Nothobranchius furzeri: one gene and its partner. The main gene of each other region encodes a partner of the protein of the gene in region 2 in a complex. Links are inferred from orthologs where the notes say so. Each region holds a gene or a part of one and is shown on either strand. Other genes may lie near its edges.

The links.
Region 1: chd5 (region 2) and mta3 share a complex: the UniProt entries of both Homo sapiens proteins name them as parts of the nucleosome remodeling and deacetylase (NuRD) repressor complex. The link is inferred for Nothobranchius furzeri from reciprocal best matches to the Homo sapiens genes CHD5 and MTA3.

The regions. Positions count from the first base shown.
Region 1 is NC_091756.1:43,839,971-43,851,192, reverse strand, and holds the start of mta3 (metastasis-associated protein MTA3), read right to left. Parts: upstream 5,543-11,222; 5' UTR 5,362-5,542; coding exon 5,334-5,361; intron 3,195-5,333; coding exon 3,127-3,194; intron 771-3,126; coding exon 677-770; intron 1-676. UniProt on the Homo sapiens protein: Acts as a component of the histone deacetylase NuRD complex which participates in the remodeling of chromatin.
Region 2 is NC_091743.1:75,277,106-75,288,358, forward strand, and holds the start of chd5 (chromodomain-helicase-DNA-binding protein 5), read left to right. Parts: upstream 1-4,092; 5' UTR 4,093-4,835; coding exon 4,836-4,902; intron 4,903-11,253. Other genes in the region: rpl22 (large ribosomal subunit protein eL22), read left to right, coding at 1,558-1,593, 1,656-1,769, 2,025-2,149, 3,784-3,925. UniProt on the Homo sapiens protein: ATP-dependent chromatin-remodeling factor that binds DNA through histones and regulates gene transcription. May specifically recognize and bind trimethylated 'Lys-27' (H3K27me3) and non-methylated 'Lys-4' of histone H3.

The sequences.
Region 1 (11,222 bases), on a different chromosome or scaffold from region 2:
GAAAACTATTTTATGACGATTGTAAAAAAAAAAAAATCTTCCAAGATCAAAAAATAACGACAATGAACTGGTTCATTTGCAACTGTTATTTATCAAAATAAAGCAATAAACAAGTAACTGATTCTGACTCCTAATAGCATGTTTGTTGCGTTTTCTCTAAAGAGGCACAGATTTTGGTCCATACTGATCTCCTGATTCTTGTGCAGGTCTGGCCTGCAGAAACAGATGTGGGCCAATTCTAATGGGTGAAGGACTATTATCAACAGAGGACATTAGCCGAGAACACACACCAGTGACTGCTGCTTGGCACTGATGCACTGGCAGATTCGGGGAAAAGACTACGACGTTTGAGCTGAATACTGACTGATGCCCATCACCACTCGTATGGGTGCGTCGCTAATTTAAACACATTTTTCACATTAATGTTTAATATAAGATCTAAAAGCAACTATTTCTGCCCTTGATTTGTTTAAGTTGCTTGTCAGGGACTAAAGATTCTCACCCAAAACAAAAGGAAGTACTTCCAACAATTATTAAACCAAACAAAAACTCAACACTGATCTGATTATTTTATGTTTTTGCTCAAGTTGATTTCTAAATAATAAATCCTAAAAGAGACAGTAACTTTCCTTCATAAACTAAAAGTGTGATAAAAGAAAAAGGGGTTAGCACTTACTTGCATGTTTATCTGCGAGCTGGATGAGGCTGTGAGAGATGTCTCTCCTTCTGTAAAAACAAACCACTTTGGCCTCAACATTCCCACTGGCGGTCTGAAACATAGAGGAGATAGATCCATGCTGACAAAAAAGAAGTGGAAAACACCTTTATGCTCAAAACTCAGATTTCCCCTGAGAGCCGGCTCCTTTGTATAGCTATCGAGCTCTGCCTCTGAGACAAGCTGACCAGTGTTTTCTAAAGAGATGATTGATTTACCGTCATGCTTTTTAACTCGTTAACACACTCAAACCGAGTTATTAAATGTCATGGCTCTGAGGGTAAATAGGACTAGCAGTCTTCATATCCTGCTGCTGTTTAGGAAAGTTGCAGGCAACGCCAGTCATTTTCCCACTATTTTTATGAGCACTAAAGATTTACGCTACCATAATCACAATGAAACACGGCCAAACATCAACTGCTAATGACTTCTGGTTCTTTGCAGCTTATCCGACTAATATAAACAACACGCAGCCTGCATTTTGCTGAGGGTCAGGTAGAACTGACTGTATTCTCTGTATCGTGTTGCCTGTTTCCCATTATTCTGCCTTTTTTATGACAATGCAGCCCTGGGTTGGCACCATCTCAAATATGATGAGTAAGATTTCTCTGACGTCTTAGCACAAGTACAATGCAGGAAGAGTATTAGAAATGTTACATGCTACACATGGCTAAACCATGCTATTTTCGGACCTGCCGACCTTATCAAAATTTTTGAGTACCACTTCTGTGGCATGTTTTCGCAGATTTTTTTCAACTCCATTACTTTCCCCTTTCTCTTGCTGGAAAATTACTATATGATAAAAAAAATACAACACTCATATTGTTTGGCTACTTCACTGTCTGGATAAATTTTCTTGAATAGTCCAAAAAAAATCATGTATTTTAATAATAAACAGTAAAAGGTAAAAGTTGTGCTTGCTTTCCTATTTAATATGTGTGCTTATACAAGGTGATAGCCACAAGTTAACTGCACTGAAATATTTCAATATTTAATCAAAATTAATAAAAACAATTTTTAAATATTATTTAATGGTAATATATTTCGTACATGGAAATAGGAGTTTTTGTTTTCAAGAATGTAATATTAAATTGGCTTAGAGCACATATCATCACTGGGGCTAATTTATACATTACCTGCAGCTCCCTGGTGGCTTATGTCCACATTATAATTGCAGAATGAGCAAAATGCATGATGAGGTAGTTTAGACTGGGTCGAAACATGGCCACTGTTCTTGATATTTAGGCAAAAACTTCTTAGAGACATGGACGGTCTTCTTTTTGGCAGGTCTGCTAACCAGTCCCTCCCTGTCTGCTTCTCCCTCATCTGCCATAGCATGGGTTGCAAATTGTGCTGCAAAATTTGTTGTCTAAATGTTTAAACAGTATAAATTATCACATTCCTCCTTATATACAGGCCAAATCTATCTGCAATGGATACATACAAAGGCAAAAGTACACACACACACACACACACACACACACACACAGTCGCCTCTCTCTTTTTTTTCCCCACTTAGATTTCGGCTCAAATTTTTTTCAACGGTGAAAGTAACGTTACGTGTAACGGTTCACATTCACCAAGAGATGGCTGGTCCCATTCCAGTCTGCTGACACACACACACACACACACACACACACACACACACACACACACACACACACACACACACACAGTTTACTTTTTTAAATGCCAGAACAGCATCGAGTGGGAATCGGAAGACGGAGAGGCAAACAGCAGGCAGGACACAGAATAAAGAACGGAGGGAGGGGGGGGGGGGGGGGGGGTGTTACTCTATAGATTAGGCACAATTTTCTTTCCTCCGCTTTCTACGATGATTGGTTTAAACGTCTTCACCACGCTGCTGAGTTGTGTTGTCAGACATGAGTATCACATGCGTAATTGCTTCAGAACGCACGTGTCTTCAGCTTTTTGCGTAGTTTAGAGGGGTTGCATACTTGCTACACAAAATGCGTACAGGTTGGCAGGTCTGTACTTTGACTATTTTGGTCTGCTATTCAGAGACATAAGTAACAAATTCTTAACCTATAGGTCAAAACATGAATATCTAGATGTGGCTTAATATTAGCAACAACATAAAAACCTTATGAGACCACAAGCACTTTTGTACCTGGTACAAGCTGAAAATGAATCCCCATTTGGCAGTTTTACTGCAACATTATGTACTTTTAAAAATGCCCATTTCAGTCATTACCTCACAAACACAATTCCACACCCAAATGGGTGTGTGCAGTGATAAAATGACAGTTAGGAAACAAAGGAACACCTGTCTATTTCAAACAATAACCATGAACACAGGGGCATTAGGTGGGGGTTGGAGGCAGGAATCCAAATTATTCACCCTCAGGCAAAAACACCCAAATAAATGACACAAGCAAACAACGCAGTACCTTGTTGAGTTCTTCTATCCGACGGATCAGGTAAGGGTTACTTGAGGAGTTTTCAAAGAAAACATAATCTGCAACAACAAAACATATTGCGTCAGATCACTATGGATAGATGTTCCTGTGGGACAAACCTCAGATGATGTTTGATCAATGCTAAACTGCATTGCTTGTCTTTATTTTTGCAATAATTGCATTAGGATGAACTGTTTCAGTCACAAAGCAACGTTCTAATTATTCTACTAGTTATTTCATGTTTTAGCTGGGAAAACTTGAATTTGACATGTTTAGGGGTGGGTTTTATACAGAAGACTGCAGAACTTAAAGGTGACATCAATATTACAAGAACAACTATACAGGTGATGTAATATGTGATGAACCATTAAATTTAGGCTATTTCAAAAACCTAAAGTAGTTTAAAGGTGAGGTATGTATTACTATAGATGTAAAGTTTCATCCTTCTTTATAAGTCACACTTAAAACACCCATAATTCAGTTCTCCATAGTCAAACTTCTTATTTAAGCTATCCATAATGTAATTCCTCCTACCTACAAATAACATATTTGATGTCTCACACTATTTCTAAAACATAAAATCCCCATTATTATGCATTAGACCTTCAGAACCAGAAAAAAAACAATGACATTCTTCCCATCCAGAATGCAAATCTCTTTTTGAAATATCTACAATCCATTTATTAAAAAGTAATCACAATATTAATTTCAAATAACCAAGGTAAAAAATTATTTCAGACACAATTTTTAAGTAAACAGAAATAAAATTCACGTTATTACATGTCAAAAGCTACTGCATTCGTAATTGAAATGTTTTTGTAGATGCATTCTGCAGACCTTTAATCCAAAGCGAGTGACCAATTAACCTAATTTTGCATGTTTTTGGTCTATAGGAGGAAACTGGAGAACCTGGAGGGAAAAACCCACACACGCACAGGGAAAACATGCAAACTCCATGTAGAAAACCTGCAGCTGGGATTTGAACCTGCAACCTTCTTGCTGCGGGACAATGGTGCCACCATGCAGCCTGCAATAACATCCATTATCAATGTAATCACAAATGTAAACAAAATGTTTAGTGCATTTATTAATCTTTGATGGGATGGTATTCTAACATAAAACAGGTGAAATTTAAATTAGCCATGACAACACTGGTGCTATCCTAGAAGCAGGTTGTCTGCTGATAATATTATGTTCCATGGTAGGAAGACTGTTAGCCCAATACACAAAGATGGGTAAAACAATTCATAATAACCAAAGTGAGGTGACATTCTGGATAATGGATACAAAACATTTATCATTTATGTTAAGTTTTCTAACGGAGTCAGTCAATTTTAATTACATCTGCACCACAGTCAAGTTTAATGTCTTAAATGTTGGATAATGTATTTTATCTCTTATTTCAACCAGCGCCAATATATTTTTGACCAGGAGCAATGCTATTATTATTACATAGAACAATGATTAAAGGTGTGTGTAATTAAAGATGTTACAACGGCCTGCCATACTCAGCGACGCCATGAAGACAATCACTTGATGTTGAATTCCAGGAGATTGCTAACGAGCTAGCCGCAAAGCCAGACTGTCTGATAAACTGCACGTTAGATAACTTTATATGTACATTGAGGAACAAAAGTAGTGTTTTAATGCTACCAAAACGAGTACAGACACTGCGTGGCTAATGAACGAGTGGTGACGAGGAGATAATGGTAATCAATGAAGCCACTGCTGCTGCTAACGTTAGCTAAATAAGACTAATGGCTGCATGCCAGAAGAGGCAAATACAAAGGCAGCCACATACTGGCCGTGGTACGATTTGAACAGCCGTATAAACACACGTCTAGTGGCGAGATACTACCACGTAACACTTCTCACTGTCGCCAGCCTAAGTATTCACACTGCACAAAAGAAGCTAAAGGTGCCGACGGTAGAAAAATGTTTACATTATGAGCGAGCCACCTAGCTGCTGGCGGCTAGCTGCGGTGGCCACGACAGACGCGAGGCCTGACCCATTTTGAAGCCCAAATATTAAGAAAACACTCACCTTCCGCTTCAAACTAACTCTTACACAGGAGTGCAGCACAGCCGCATCTTACAGTTACATGCAAAGTTATTAATATTTTACAATAACACCCAGGAGATGCAAACCCGAAAGCGTTTCCGTCAGTTAATAAAATGATCCACACTGACATACATACCTCCGACCCGGTACATGTTGGCCGCCATTTCTGCCCTCCCAGAGTGTACAGCATAAACTAAGAAATTTGGAATAAATAATTAATAATAAAAAAAAGATAAAACTCCGTCCCTCGAAAGATACGGGGTGCTTAAATTAGGATCGTCGACACTCCAGATGTATCGGGAGAGATTTGGCATTCAGCCCCCCCTCCTCCACCACCGATTCACGGCAGCACTTAACAATACAGTGAACTCACAGCAGCAGCCAAAAGAAGTCGGATGGAGCCGAAAAAGCACCGAGGAGGGGAGGGAGCCGCGCATGCGCACTGTCTGCCACAGAGACCCTCCAGGTGAGTGGTAGCATAGGTGGCATTACTGGTTCCAAACCAACTCAGCTTCTGTGACAAGGTTTGCAGCTGCAGAACAGACACACACTTTTGTCAATAAATTTAAGTTTATTTTTCCTCTTCAAATATGACAAAATCAAAATACATTCAATCAATACATGAACAAATATAAATCAATTGTTTTATTGCAAGACTATCTATCTATCTATCTATCTATCTATCTATCTATCTATCTATCTATCTATCTATCTATCTATCTATCTATCTATCTATCTATCTATCCATCCATCCATCCATCCATCCATCCATCCATCCATCCATCCATCCATCCATCCATCCATCTATCCATCTATCTATCTATCTATCTATCTATAGAGGTGTGACCAAGTCACTGCTTTGCAAGTCACAAGTAAGTCACAAGTCTTTCCAGACAAGTCTCGAGTCAAGTCCAAGTCAAAGGCACCAAAGCCCAAGTCGAGTCCAAAGTCAACAATGTGGAAGTCCAAGTCAAGTATGAGTCCTTAACTTTGAATTTTCAAGTCATAATCAAGTCATCTGTCCAACTTCAATTTAATGACATGATAATAAATAAATTTCAGAAATAAAGCTTCTTAAAGCTTCATTTATTTGCTCAAACAAGCAGAAAGTGCAACTCAAACTGATTATAAACAAATTGCTGCTGCATTTAGCAGTAAATCAAACCCAGAATGGAGAATGATTCATGATATTTGTCCACATCGTGCCACTTTTGTGCTAAAATATCAAATATGCTCAAGTCATCATCAAGTCAACAGCTGCAAGTAAATTCAAGTCGCAAGTCATTGGCGTTCAAGTCCGAGTCAAGTCGTAGGTCTTTATAGATTTTATCAAGTCAAGTCAGAAGTCATTAAAATAATGACCCAAACATGGAGAACTAACCACAGATCTTCTGTGGATGTAGGCTTCCTTACATCCTTCTGTATCTTCATTTAATCCCAGATCAGGCCTCTGTGGGGGCACACTATCGCTTCCAGGACTGCTTGTTCTTCTTTACACTGAAGATAGTTCTTAATTACTTTGTTTGTTTGTTTGTTTGTTAGGGTTGACTCATTTTACATTTTGTAAACTGATGAAAACAAACAATCATTATTTATGTCTGAAAACATTCTTTATTTACAGCTATTTTTGCACATGCCTAAACTGCCCATTAACAGTGCAAAATCAATTCCCTACCTCAGGCTAATTTAGTTTCCAGGTATGAGACAGCAACAAAAGTACTTATTTTATAGCAAGCCATCTTATACATGTAAATACAAAGGGACGCAAACGTTTGGCCAGCCTTGTCAATCTTCATGTTTTTCCTGTATAAATTGTTGGTTGTTATGATAAAAATGTTATGAAAAAAAATCATATAGGAGACACACACAGTGCTTTCTGAAAAGTGAAATAAACTTTACAGGCTTTATAGAAAGTGTGCAATAACTGTTTAAAACAAAATTAGGCAGGTGCATACATTTTTGCAACACACAAAAGAAATTAACTCAATATTTATTAGACCCTCCTTTTGCAAAAATAACTGCCTCTAAATGCTTCCTATAGCTTCCAATGAGAGTCTGGATTTTGGCTGAAGGTATTCTGGACCATTCTTCTTTACTAAACATCTCTGGTTCATTCAGGTTTGATTGCTTCTGAGCATGGACAGCTCTGTTTAACTCACACCACAGATTTTCAATAATATTCAGGTCTGGGGACTGAGATGGTCATTCCAGAACATTCTACTTGTTCCTCTGCATGAATGCCTTAGTAGATGTTGAGCAGTGTTTAGGGTTGTTGTCTTTTTGAAAGATCTAGCCCAGGTGCAGCTTCAGCTTTGTCACTGATTCCTGGACATTGATCTCCAGAATCTGCTGATATTGAGGGGAATCCATGTGCCCCTCAGCTTTAACAAGATTCCCAGTCCTTGCACTGGCCACACAGCCCCACAGCATGACGGAACCACCACCATGTTTTACTGTAGGTAGCAGGTGTTTTTTTTTTTTTTTTTTTGGAATGCTGTGTTATTTTTCCTCCATGTATAATGCCCCTGGTTATGCATAATGACCCTGGTTATGCCCAAATAACTCAATTTTAGTTTCATCAGTCGACGGCACCTTATTCCAAAATGAAGCTGGCTTGTCCAAATGTGCTTCAGCATACTTCAAGCAGCTCTGTTTATGCCTTGGGCAGAGAAAAGGCTTCCTCTGCATCACTCTCACATACTTGTAGAAAGTGTGCTGCGAAGCTGAACAATGCACAATGACTCCATCTGCAGTAAGATGATGTTGTAGGTCTTTGGTGCTGGTCTGGTGGTATGCTCTGACTGTTCTCACCATTCTTTGCTTTTGTTTATCTGAGATTTATTTTGGTCTGCCACTTGAAGCCTTAACTTGAACTGAGCCTTCCATTTCCTCAGTATGTTCCTAACTGTGGAAACAGAAGCTGAAGTCTCTGAGACAGCTTTCTGCATCTTTCCCCTGAACCATGATGGTGAACAATATTTGTTTTCAGATCTTTGAGAGTTGTTTGGAGACCCCCAAAGTTGTTTATCAGCAGCGGGTCTCACATTTAGCTGACTCTGATCTGTTTGAGGTTTTCCGATCAGGGTTCAGGTCTGGCCATAGCACAGAGTCGGCTCTACTGAGGGTCTTAAATGATATCTATCTATCACTTGATCAGGATACATTTGTGGTGCTTCTGTTGTTAAATCTGATGGCAGCTTTTTACACGGTTGACCACACGATTCTGCTTGATCACTTGGAACGATGGGTTGGGATCAAAGGGTCTGCTCTGGATTGGTTTAGATCGTATCTCCACAACAGGACATTCTGTGTTAAACTAGGTGATGTTTTTTCTTCTTGGGAGGGGCTCCATTGGGGGTCCCGCAGGGCTCAATCCTTGGTCCTCTTTTGTTTGCCATTTTTCTGCTTCCTCTGGGGTCAATCTTTTGTAAACATGGCCTAGTGTTCCATCTTATGCTGACGATTGCCAGATTTACTCTCCATCGTGTCAAGAGAAAGGTCTCTCCATCCAGTCCTTTGTGTCCTGTCTTAATGAGGTGAAGTCTTGGCTAATGGCCAACAATCTGCATCTAAATGAAGGAAAAATAGAGCTCATTGTTTTTCACCCCAACAGCAGGGCTGCGGGTCGCAATGTTGATCTTGACCCTCTTTCTCCCTATTTAAAACCAGTTGTCACCAGTTTGGGGGTGAAAATTGACGCAGGACTTAAATTTGATGCTCACATCAACTCTGTGATCCGGTCCAGTTTCTTTCATCTGAGACGCCTTGCAAAAATCAAGACTATGCTGTTGAGAGCCCACCTGGAGCTGGTACTCCATGCTTTTGTAATTTCTAGGCTTGATTACTACAACTCTCTATATGCAGGGTTGTGTCAGTCATCACTGCGTCACTTACAGGTTGTGCAGAACAGCGCAGCCAGGTATCTGACTGGGACCAGGAAATGGGACCACATCAGTCCGGTTCTGGCCTCCCTGCACTGGCTTCCGGTCTGTTATCGTTCACACTTAAAACTCCTGGTCTTTGTTTTCAGTTTCTTCCAGGGTGGTGCTCCCCCCTATCTTGCCACACTCCTGAACAGACATTCCCCATCACGCGCTCTGCGCTCCTCTGACCAAGGCCTGCTCGCTGTCCCTTGCTCTAGGTGTCGTACTCGTGGGGACCGGGCTTTCTCAGTCCTAGCTCCGTCACTCTGGAACCTAACCTGGCAAGCCAGACTAAATAAATGTATTATTTAGTCTGGCAATGCTCCATTGACGGCTCTCGGTTGTGGGGCGGGTTCTACCGTTGTCTTTCAAATGATCTCCGCATGCTACTGGACAATGAATGTGACATACTCTTGTTTCACTCTGTTGCATCATCCCACCCACCATGCATATAGAGTGACCTGATTGGCCCACAAAGCAGATAAAGCTCTGTGATTTGTTCACTAAGCAGATAGAGCACTATGACTGGCTCACCATTATGGACCAATCACAGCTCTTTATGTGTTTGAAACCCCTCTAGAGAGCTGTGATTGGCCAGCCAGAATGCTGTTGGGGCTGCAGAGGTTCCAGTGGAGCATTCCTAGACCAAACTTTTCAAAGCAAGAATTTGGTCTAGTTCACTAGGCTATCTGGAACCAGTTGCCACCTTCAGTTAGGCTGTCCCCATCTCTGCCAGTCTTTAAGAGTCGCCTAAAAACCCACCTCTTCTGCTTGGCATTCCCTGAACGTGTTTGAGTTTGGCCCTCTTTTATGTTGATTTTATTTCCCTGCTTTCATTTGTCTCTTTATCCCTTGTTTTACCCATTTGTCTTCTACTAGAATGTTTTACCTTTTTTGCACTATTTGAATTGCTTTTATTATTAATTTATTCATCATGTTTCACATTTCTCATGTACTGTGTTCAGCTCCTTGGGCTTCCCGACATGGTCGTGGAAGGCGCTTTATAAATAAAGCATTGATTGATTGATTGATTGATTGATTGATTGATTGGTTGATTGATTGATTGATACTCTTCAGATAAGTCGTGGCGGATGGCTGCTTATACTGAGCCAGGATCCTCTGGAGGTTTCTTCCTGTTAAAGGGGAGTTTTCCTCTCCACTGTCGCTGCATGCTTGCTTAGTATGAGGATTGCTGTAAAGACACTGACACCAGTCAGTGACTTGATACAATTTGCTAGGTTCCTTATATAGGAAACATTATTTTTGATTGGCTTAATGAACTGACCTGTATTGGAATGTTTTATTATGTGAAGTGCCTTGAGACGACTCTTGTCGTGATTTGGCGTTATATAAATAAACTTGAATTGAATTGAATAATATTCAAAGAGGAGGGAAACTTACAATTGGACTCCCTAAATACTATTTTTCATAATTGGATTCACCTGTGTATGGAGGTCAAAGGCCACTGAGCTTACCAAACAAATTTTGAGTTCCAATAATTAGTTTTTTGGAAAGGTTTTGGAGTCAATAAAATGACAATGATGCCCAAATTTATGCACCAACCTAATTTTGTTTAAACAATTATTGTCCTTTCTGTAAATCCTAGTTTCACTTCTCAAATATGTCTGTGTGTCTCCTGTATGATATACTGTATATGACTGTAAGAAAAAAGCTTTCTTCACAAGTGGAGGCTACCAAAATTATGGAGGCCAAATCTTGCAAGTCTGAAGATCTGTACCACTGCAAACTGGTTAAAGAAAAGTGGGACAGACAAGACAAAACAGAAATGTTAAACAAAGAAAATGACGATTTACTGGCTTTTCGTAAGACCCTAGAGGAAAATCTTCACATTAAGAATCTCCATGTCAGGAAAGAGGCACTGTCCCAAGTGATATCTTTGAACCCACACAAACAGAGAAATGTAAAGGATTATTTATACTTCTCCGTCTGCATGGGTATGCAGACTTGCAACACCATTATGTATTGGCGCAAGGGTTCTCCAACAGGCTCACAGAGAGTGACGGAGACATGCCCAAATTTTTAACTATCTGTCAAAAGTGACAGAGACCGCAACTTGTAATTGGTCAGGACATTGCTTCCTT
Region 2 (11,253 bases):
GGGCCGTCTGTGGAAAGAACAGACCGCCACTGTCTTACCTTTCAGTTGTGCTATCAGCTACCCCCAGCAGGAATGGCAACAATGCAGAAACTCTTCAATAGTAGGCCGACGGGGTCTGAACCACCGGGCAGCTGACTACTCACACCTCGTGCCAGCCCACAAGTGCTGCCAGAGTTCAGAAGAGACATTTAATTTTGTTGTCAGGGTTTGGAATGATGCACCTGTCCTATTTCTGATGCCATAAACTCATTGTACCTTGGGCTATTTAGGAAAAATCATGGAATAAATAAGGAACTAGAGAACTGCCATCCACTAAAATAGTGGTGAAATGTAATTAACACATGTTAACAGGGCAGATAATATCTTCAGAAACTTCTACAACAATCACATTTTAAGGAGAGTTTGTGGATAATCAAAATCCCCACTGGCTCACCGCTACGTGTTACCTTTATCCTGTCATAAATGTCTCCCATTATCATTTTGGTATTTCTCATAATAAGAACGTTTCGGCACAGCCAAGGCATTAGTGATGTGTCGGTCACGAACGAACCGGCTCTAAGAGCCGGCTCTTTGAAGTGAACGACGGGAGCCGGCTCGTCATTGGGAGCCGTCCCCTCCCCCCTCCCCTTTTGCTTTGGTGAAAGCCACAGGCGATTGATTGGTCAGCATGTGTAACTGCGTGTCCAGACTGTCCACACACAGAGCAGTAGGGGCGAGGAAGAGGGAGGATCAGACTCAGACACACAGCAGAGCACATGCGGGCGGAGGGAGACGAGAGGGAATGAGGAGGAGGACAAAGGCGAGAGAGAGAGAGAGAGAGGAGAGTGCAACGAAGACGGTGAGAAAATGAGCGCCAGCAGTCGGAAAGTGGAGATTTCTGAAAGTGTTCAGTTATTAAATCCATAGAAATGATAAATATTTGATATATAGCATTTTTTTACATTAGTACATCATTTTGCATATAGTTTTGCATTATTTTGGTTATAAATGTACTCTACACAACAGAAAATCTGAGGAGCCACTTGGGAGCCGAAAGAGCCGGCTTTTTTTGGTGAGCTGAGCCAAAAGAATCGGCTCTCTAAAAAGAGCCAGAATTCCCATGACTACAAGGCATGGGAATAGGTTGTATAATCAACCCCAGATAGCTTGATCCAATCGATTTAGCAGGTGGGTATTGTACTTCCTGCGCAGAGCGGAAGCTCTTTCCTTTTTGCTGAGCGTGTCTGCCATGGCACCCATAGTGAGTAGTCAAACGACTAAATAAAGCGCACACAGACAACGCAGCTTAGCTTGTATTAGCCACCCACAGCCGAGTATAAACCCGGAGCACAGTAAAATAAGAAATGCTGTTCTGGCGTCGTACCTGACTGTACTTCCAGTAGTTGGTCCAAAACACGCAGAGCTAGCCGCGAGCGCTAATGTTAGCTAGCTGAAGCTCGCAACGGAGTAAACGGGTGTTTTCAGTTGTTTCAAGAGTTTTGTTTTAAGTAGTGAAATTCCGACTCGGGGTCACGTTCCCTGCCCATTTGTGCGAACTTGTCATCGTGTTTTTATCCGATGGTTTCCAGTCCGGGCTGGTTTCGTTATTCTAAGGTGATTCTTTTTTTTGGTTTTGGTTCAAGTTCACGTTTGAGCTTCTTGTGTTTGTGTTGTAGAAGAAGCAGCAGGTGTTCAGGAAACCAGGTGGGAAGAAGAAGAAGCAGATCCTGAAGTTCACCCTGGACTGCACTCATCCTGTGGAGGATGGCATTATGGATGCTGCCAACTTTGTAAGTATCCTTCAGACACAAATGACAGCAGCTGGAATACATAAACAGTAAAGTGTCAGTTTTATGGATCAAACCAAATATTTCTGGATGCTGTAATCAGCATAGAAACAGAGATGATTTTGATGTATCGTCATTTTAATCACATCCACATCAATAGGAAACGTGTTCAGATCACAGTAGATCGTTTCACTTAGAAAAGCATGCGTGCCATGAAGTTATGTTCAAGTCCTGCTGTGGTGTGATGTCCTCAAACAGGAGCAGTACCTGCAGGAGCGCATTAAGGTGAACGGCAAAGCTGGAAACCTGGGTGGTGGCGTTGTGTCCATTGAGAGGAGCAAGAGTAAAATCGCTGTGAACTCAGAAGTGCCCTTCTCCAAGAGGTACAACATGAAATATAATACCTGGTGTCAGAAATGTCTTGTGTACCTCAGTGAGCCCATTTCTTTGCAATATGCTCGGTGCAAGGAAATGGTTTCAGTTAAACGGACGGTGAAGTGTTTGTGAACAGGATGTGGTGCCACCTTAAATTAGGGACAATCTATGAGGACAGTCTAAGTTAGCAGCCAACTGGCAACATAAATGTGCAATAGAGTCATAACGACTGGAAATTACCCGTTTGGTTTTGATCATATTTGTATTTACTGCTCAGTGACTGCATTAGTTTGTCATTTTCCCACCTGAAGACGCCACCCAGCTAGTCACCTTCTCAGCTGGGTGGTAAACCCTCTAAAGTCACCGATTCACAACAATATCCTCAGGTGATGCTACCAGACCAAAACGATCCTATGTGTGGAGGGGGACAAATAGCATATCCAGTGTGAGGGTATGTTCGTCAGAACAGTAGTTCCCAACCTCGGGCCAGTGACCAAAATTGTCCTAAGCGGAGGTTGTGAGATTGCCAAAATCGTATTTGTTAAGAATACATTCATGAAATCCTGATAACACACCTGATATTATAGTTAAAGCTGGGTATGAGTTATTGCCCTGTGTGGCGAGGTGGAGAAATGAGGGCCCGGGCGGGATTCGATCCCCAGACCGCCGGGTGAGAGTCACGTGTGCCTACCAGTCAGCTAAAGTGACATCCCCTTGGCCAAGTAGCCAGAGCGCATGATCAATCGGGATACTGTGACAGGACGCTCATCCTGTCACACCTGTCTGTCTAAATGAATCCCTTTTTATTGTGTTTATGTGGGTAGAAGTTAGGGTTTGATAAGCATCTCCTCAAGGGAAAAGGTTGGGTCAGAGGATGTAATAAACAGCTGTAAACAAATATAGTTTTAGATTATTTGATGCAAAGCATGTTTAAAGACCTTAAATTAGAAGGGCTTCAAGTCTTATTTAGGTTTTGTTCAAGTGAAACGTTTTTCTCAAATATAAAGATATTGATGTTTGATTTGGTGTAACTTCTTTAGGTGTAAAAGAAGATGTTTCAGTAATGTTGGTAGACATCAAACCTAGTTTTGGTGTTTGCTTCAAGTCCAAAATAGAGAGCGCCACATGAGAACATCACCACCAGAGGGCGACATTAGCCAATGAAGTTCTTCAATAATCTCCAGAAGAAGTCTGGTGGTGCTCCAACCAACCTTGATGCCAGATAAATGTCATCTGTCCTTCTAAATTAATATAGTAAAAATACTTGAATGGCTTTTTATGCATGTACAGCTTGTTTATATGTAAGCCAATAAAGTCAGAGCACGTTATCAGAGATTTAATTCTTATTCACTTAGTGAGAACCTCGTTAGCTCCCACTGTAGTGTGGAGCTTTTTCCTGAGGTGTCTTACATTTTTATTACATTTTGCATACTACTCCCCCCCCCCCCCCCCCCCCCCCCCACACACACACACACACACACACACACGCCACACACATCAGATACTAACCCTGGAAGCTCAAGCTACGACCACACTGGCTCAATTCCAGTAAATAACATGAAACATTACTGTTCCCGTGAAGACGAGACATCCTGTCCCACCTCGTCTCACCTGTCTCCTCCATCTTTTTTTTCTTTTTCAGGTATTTAAAGTATCTGACCAAGAAGTATCTGAAGAAGAACAACCTCAGGGACTGGCTGCGGGTTGTGGCCAACACCAAGGAGAGCTACGAGCTGCGCTACTTCCAGATCAACCAGGATGAGGAAGAGGAGGATGAAGATTAAACCTAGCAATACTCTTAATAAAAATCACGAAACAAAAGAAAAAAGTCTGTCTTTGTTGTTTTTCTTCTGTTTTGTGTTGCACATCAGTTCCCTGTAAGGTCGTACTATAGAGGTCGTACTTTAGTTTTTGTCTTAATTATGAATCAACAGCATTTAAATAGTTTCAGAAAAACAGGAAAAGCTGGAAAACCAAATAACTGGAAGTCAGATATGTAAATGGAAGTTGTTCTGATGCACAGAAATGAACTGCGCTTCATTGTCCTGTTTTACATCTGTGGTAACCTTGGCAACAGATCACCGGAAGTCATCATGTGGGATTAATCAGCTGCACCTTTGTGGCGTTAATGAACCAGAATTGTAACCCATGTGTTTCATAAGGACGGGCTCCTGTCTCCAGCAGAGATGCGTGAGGTCTCAGCCCTCCACGCAGCTCTCTGGCTGTTCGGGACAAGTTTCCGTCTCCATTCTTCAGACTTCCTGTGCGGAAGCGTCCGGATTCTCCCGCTGCAGCACGAGACGCGCAGCTGTGATTGATTTTAACACTACTAGTTAAAATATTAACTAGCGTGCGACTAACTAGTTGATGGGTGAAACTATGGGATGTATCGTCATGGCAACAGACCAGACGTCACAATCTGGGCATGTGTGTTCCATTTTTGTCTTTCTTATTTTTCAGACTGCGAGACCTGGATAGGGATCTGTGGAAACCTTCCTAATGTTCATTTTTCTACATGTATATTTTTGATCTAAAGGGAAGATTTTTCTATTATTTTCGCTGCAAATTAAAGAAATCCCGGCAGCGGTGAACAGAGAGTTGTTATTGGCTGAAGAGCGGCTGGGCTGCGGCGTCTGGAGGGTTAACTTCCAGTTTTCCCAGCCTAAAAGGGGCTTTGGGGGCTATGAGATAAAGATGCCGGGCTCGCTGAGTAATGAGGACGAGGGACAGGACGACATGGATTTTGAAGACGACGTGCCAGGTGAGGGATCCGGGAGGCGGGGTGTCCTTCAGATGGGTTTGCGCCGTTACGCCTTGAATGCGGGGAAAAGGGCTTGTCCTGCGCTCCCGATACCACGGAGGAGGAGGAGGAGGTGCAATAAGCAGTCATTCCTTTTACTCTCCCCGTCTTGTTCCACGACCTGGTGTCTGGAAGGCTGACGTGATGTTGGCTTTGCCTCCGGCTGTCCTCACATCCAGCCGGCTTTAGGGACATCATGGAAACCCGGCTGCAGGCTCCTGTGTTCTGTCAGGCTTCAGGCCATCCATGTCTCTTTTGTGACCAGGAAGCTGCTCGAACTTTATTAATTAATTTATTTTGTTGCATTGCATGACCGCAGAGGTGCGAAAGCCACGTGTGGGCTCCAGGAACAGCCTGTCACCTGCTCTAGGTTGTGCAATACCCCACATTCACTCTACCTCCATGTTCTGTGATGCAGCCCTGTTCTGGTCTCATGACAGCTGCACACAAGCCAGATTTCTTCCATTTCTCTTGTTACTGCAAATACAATGCCTATGCCCCTTAACGTAGGAGCTGTGTTATATGGGCCTATGCACTCCTCTTTAATGAGTTTCAGGTCTAATCAGTCAGGAACTGTTAGGAAGGCAAAGTTCCCAGTGTGGCCTGTGATGCTCTAAGTGCGACTGTTCCAGTCATGTCCTAAACCGGAAGTGTCTTAACTTTTTAAGACAATGGCCAGAAAGGTCAAGTTAAAGCTGGGATGTATAGTTTAAAAATTCTAAAGTAACTTAAAAATGTTTTAGTTAGACTGACCCTGCACTATGAGCCTAGGAAAATCTTTCATAATGTATATTTCCCTAAAGCCTAATTTATACTTCTCTGCCTGGGGGGGGGGGGGGGGGGGGGTAGAGACACACACACCACCTTAGGGAGCTTAAGTCCCGCCCATCTACTTCCGGACCATGAGTCCGCGGAAGAAGGAAAAAAATGAGTGCAAGTCAATGGGGCTAAAAACGCTATTTTTTAATTCTGCATGTTTTGTGCCGTGGACAAAAAATGGTGGTTTGCAACAGAGAATCGATAAAAAACAAGTCTGGTGATGCAACCGACTTGTTTTATCATAAAGTAAGGATTTAAGATGGCCAGGGCTGCACTTAAACTATGTGTGATATTTTCATATAGTTTTCAATAATTATTGATATTGATCAATATGATTTTTTCTATATCGTTTAGCCCTACTAGAGAGACAAAAATCAACCATCCATGAAAAGAAATCTGGCCCGCGTAAATCTACTCCGAGGACCAGAAGAGGACTTCTGGGTCGCTCTTCCTGTCCTAAACAATTACATGCTTCTTGCTCCAGTGTTATAGGGTAAAGGTGATCAAGTGGCTGATTGTTGCTAAGCACCTGTGGTAAAAGCCGGTGTAATACCAGCTTTCATTGATTTCACGTATGCATCGCGCTTTGAACTCTACAAACAATGTTTCATATTCAATTCAATTCAAAAATACTTTATTAATCCCAGAGGGAAATTGATACAATGCAGCTTCATTTCAAATGTTGGGGAAAACCAAGTTTTGGTGGTATGAAATGGACGGAAAGTGAAAAAGTTGACAATGGAAAATTCCAGTGACATTTCTGCACAAGATGGCTTCACATAAAACTGACTCAAGGTTACACCATTTCAAATAGAAATATTTATGATTTCACTCAAGCCCACAGAACGCTTTGGTTTTACGTGGAGAGAGAGGTCAAATCTGAGGATAAAAGCTTTCATTTGTTTATTATTTGTCTACATATAACCACTCAATTCACCAACGCTTAAAGGGTAATGCTAATTTAGTATTCATAAACCCAATAACCTCTGTAGGTGGTGCACAGTTTAATAGAGTTCCTGCAGAGATTAGGAAGAATGCTTGCAACTAAATGTGACAACGATTCATAAAAACGCTTCAGTGCTTCCAATCCATCATGCATCTAAAACAAGAAGTGATTCTAAGTTAATTCACTTCCATTAAGAAGCATTTTAAATTCCGACCATGTCAAGAATCTCAGACAAACCTCTGTTGGGACTTCGAGCCACAGACACTTTCGTATCAAAGCTTTTACTTGTCTTAGCACTTGGCCTGGCCTAAGTTCTTCTGTGTTACTCGAGAAGCTTAAACGTGTCACTGTGTTTTGTTACGTTTCTGTTTTATTTGCTCAGTTCTCTCCTCAAATTAAAAGATTATCACAGGCTTTTGTGTTGCCTGCAAATGTTGTCCTCGGTTGGACGAGGGACTATTTTTGGATCCCTCATTGTGAAAGTTGACACAATTTTTCTGCTGTACGTGCGCGTAGCCTAAGCAAAAGACTGTCTTTGTGTGTGCGCGTGTGTGTGTGTGTGTATACAGTATTTCAAGCTTTTTTTCCCTCCCGTCTGAAACTAGACTTAACTCGGGCTTTATCCTTCCACCAGTTTGATGAATTTATGTTCTAATAACAGCTTTGCCTAAAGACATCTGATATTTACCTATTAAAAATAGTTATTTTCCAGCTGTTTTTATTAATAAGAAAGTGGAGCTGTCAGTCATAAATGAGCTTCCTAACACACTCCGGCCTCCTTACCCCAGAGAGGTGGGAATCTCATTTGAATGGGTCAGTCTGCATCCCAAGCCCCTGCTGGAAGGTCACCAGTGTGTTTGTCATCCATTCACATTTTACAGAGAAACGGTTTGGCGAGTGAAGCTTTGGTCGTCTTCCCAACCCGAAGTGGTGCCAGACGTCCCCCGGGCAAATGACAGAGCAACCGTCTTTTCTGTCCAACACCTGGCACAATCAGGTCCACTCTCTAATCAAAACCTTTTCTCTCCTTGTAGCTTTCCCCCCCTAAGGCAACCTGACAGATTAAAGGGTAGTTAAGATATTTCCTTCCAAAAACTCTGCATAGTCATCATCAGTTGTTAAATAAAAAGATGCGTTCAATGTAAATGTTAAACCCCTCTTCAGTGCCTTGGGCTTCCCGACAGGGTCGCGGAAGGCGATTTATAAATAAAGCTTTGATTGATTGATTGAAGAACCGGACCATTTCTTTTTTAAAATTATTACCAGATTACAACCCAGAATAAAAGACACTAACTGGTGTGGATCTCTGAATAGCCGTTGTTTGTTTGTTTGTGTTTGTGTTAGACAATAGTTTTTCACAGGTTACCCAGGACATTTTAATATTGTGTGAGATGAATGAATGAATGTTTATTTAAATAGCGCTCTACACATCCCAGAGGGTGACCAAAGCGCTTCACATTTAATATGGAAAAAATAAAATAAAAATTACAATAAAACTATTTAAAAACCACAGTAAAAAGAGCCAGTTTAAAACAATTTAGAACGTGGAAATGGTTGTACTTTAGCTAAAACACAGAGCTCAGCTGACAGAAGCTAGTTTTGACAACCAAGTCAAATATGACCCCCCGAATTTCTGATGTGATGTTTAAAACTCGATGTAAAAAATCCTAAGTCTGACAGTGTGACCTTTTGCATGTTTGGAAAAAAGAAAACACTCGGTTTTTTGTCATTATTGAAGTGTAAGAAGTTTTCTGACAACCAAAGCTTTATGTCATGCATGCAGTGTGGTAAGGAAGTTGTAGCACAATGTCTGGACTTTACTGGCAGATAAACTCGGACATCATCAGCATAACAATGGAAAGACAGATTATGTCTTTTAAGGACATTTCCAAGCGGCAGCATGTATAGGGAGAAAAGTGTAGGCCCTAAAACAGATTCTTGGGGTACGCCAAATGGGAGGCTCGTCCTGGATGAATAGGTGTTACCTACATGACACAGAAACTTCTGCTGGACAAAAAGGATCTGAACCAGGTTAATGCAGTGCTACAAGTTCCTACATTTTCTAAATGAGAGATGAGAATTTATTGATCTATTGTGTCTAATGCTGCCATGAGACCCAGCAGGGCCAGAGCAATAGGAAGACCCATCAACAACATTAGGTTATTATGGACCTTTAGTAAGGCTGCTTCTGTGCTATGTCTAGATCTAAATCTGGATTGAGAAATTTCAAGGATGGAATTCTCTTCCAAAAATGGCTGCAGTGGAACGATTTTCTCCAAAGCCTTTGATAAATACGATGGATGTGAGACTGGTCTATAAATAGAACAGAGGGGTCCAAATAGTGTGTATTTTAAAGCGGTCTGATGACAGCATGTTTGAATGCAGCTGGGACAATTCCCGATCTTAGACAGGCAGTGAGCAGCAAATTTCCAATAACAGTGAACATCTGCTTCATCATTTTGGCAGGAATGACCAGGTCAGTAAAAGAGAGGCTGGTGTAAACTCATTAAATGTAGCATCAGGTAAAGAAAATAAAACTAAACCTACATTAACAGAGAGATTACACATTCTCAATAAAAAAATCCAAGAAGTCACGAACAGGACCCAGCACAAATCCAGGAGCAGCAGAACCAGGATTTCAAACAGAGACAGTGGCTTAAACAAAATCCTAGAGTGAGCATCTGTGGAGATCCCAGAAGAAAGACTGACATGTACATCCTTCATGCTTCCTGATATTTTGTTAGACTGTCACGTAGCATCCTCAGAGATACGTGCAGTTTTTCCTTTTTCCGCTTTCGTTCTGCTTTCCTACACTCCTGTTCTGCATCCCCCTTATGTGTCTCCTTGTGTTCCTCATGTGCCTCCTTGTGTTCCCCAGCCCACTCCAGGTTCTCTCTAGGTTTCCCTCACGTTTCCCTTCAGTCACCCCACTTATCATTAGGTTTCCGTCATGTTTGGATCATATAGTCAGTATCTCCCTTTGGTTCATTTTTGCTTCCTTCCCCAGTTAGGTCTGGTTTCCTCCCCTGCTCCGTTCTGCTCCCCATCTCTGTTATTAGTCTCACCTGTGTCCAATTCCCTTAATCACCCAGCCCCTGTGTACATAACCCTGTCTGCGTCTCACTGTGTTGTCAGTCCATTGTTTGTGTCAGCGTTGTCTCAGTTCCCTCTCATGGTCTCTAGGTTTGCACTTTAGGATTTTTGTATTACGGTTTTTGGGTTCCTGCCCTTTTGGATTTTACTTTTGGACAATTATTCCTAATAAAGGATTTTACGCTTTCACTACTCCTGCCTTGCATCATCCTGGGTCTGCATCTTGGGTCCTAACCTCCTCCTGGCTTACATCGTGACAATGAGTTCATCTCTGAACTAAAATGAGTAAAAATGTAATTTATCTGGGATTTAGAAGATATCGATGCACTGAAATGTTTCAGGTAGCAGCAGTTTTTACCATCTTCGCTCTAAAGGAACAAAGAGCTCTGAAAGTAACTGTAAGCAGTTTCCTGCTCCTCTGTCCCACTGGTTAAAAGTGCAATTACAAACAACCCTGCTGCAGCCTGCTGTAGCTAGTGCTAACAGCGAGCTAACACTAACATGAGCCAGCTAATAATACTAAATAAACCACAAAGTTAAAAGATCCATCCTATTAAATAACAAATAATATAACTTACATGTCCAGTAGCAACAAAGCCAGGTCACCATCAGTCCGTGATTTTGTAGCCTCCTTTAGCTCCCTCAAGCTAGCGTAGGCTGTGCCTATGCTTTCCCTCCACAGAAATTACTCTCGTTCATTTATCTCCAGGCTTCTTGTTCTTCTTGTGCTTTTTATTGACGGTCAGCGAACTAAAAATGCTAACCACTAGCATTGCAGCAAACAAGCAGGTAAAGAGTGCCCCTTTAGGGCACCTACCTGCCCCACAAAACTATCAAGTGCAGTTTTTTGGTCAGCAGAGGGCTGCAGAGTGGTGCTAAATATGAAAATGTTCAAGTTTCTAACCCAACAATAACTGACCTTAACGTTAAAGCTCTAGCCTGCATGGTGGCTGCATGGTGGCGCAGTGGTTAGCACTGTTGCCTCGCAGCACGAAGGTCGCAGGTTCAAAACTCGCCTTTCTGCGTGGAGTTGCGTGTTCTCCCCATGCATGCGTGGGTTTTCTCCGGGTACTCCGGTTTCCCCCACAGATCACAACATGCCCTATAGGTTAAAAAAATAAATAAATTGTAAGTCGTTTTGGGTAAAAGCGTCTGCTAAGCACATAAACATAAACATAAACATAGCCTAAAGTTTCAAAAACTATCTATTGTGACTCTGAAACCATAAATCTGGATGTGTCTTGGAAGCTTCTGTCCTGAGTTTTTAGATTAAACTCGATCTTAAAAATTGCAAACGTTGTCTGGGTTTTAGTATTGCATTATATCGTATCGTCTCCCTGTATTATATATTCTATTGCCAGATTCTTGCCCCTGTTATTTATGATAATCATTTACAAATGTATGCGTTTGTTAGAGTCTCGGGTGTTCGTTGTAAAACATTCAGGAAGTAAGGA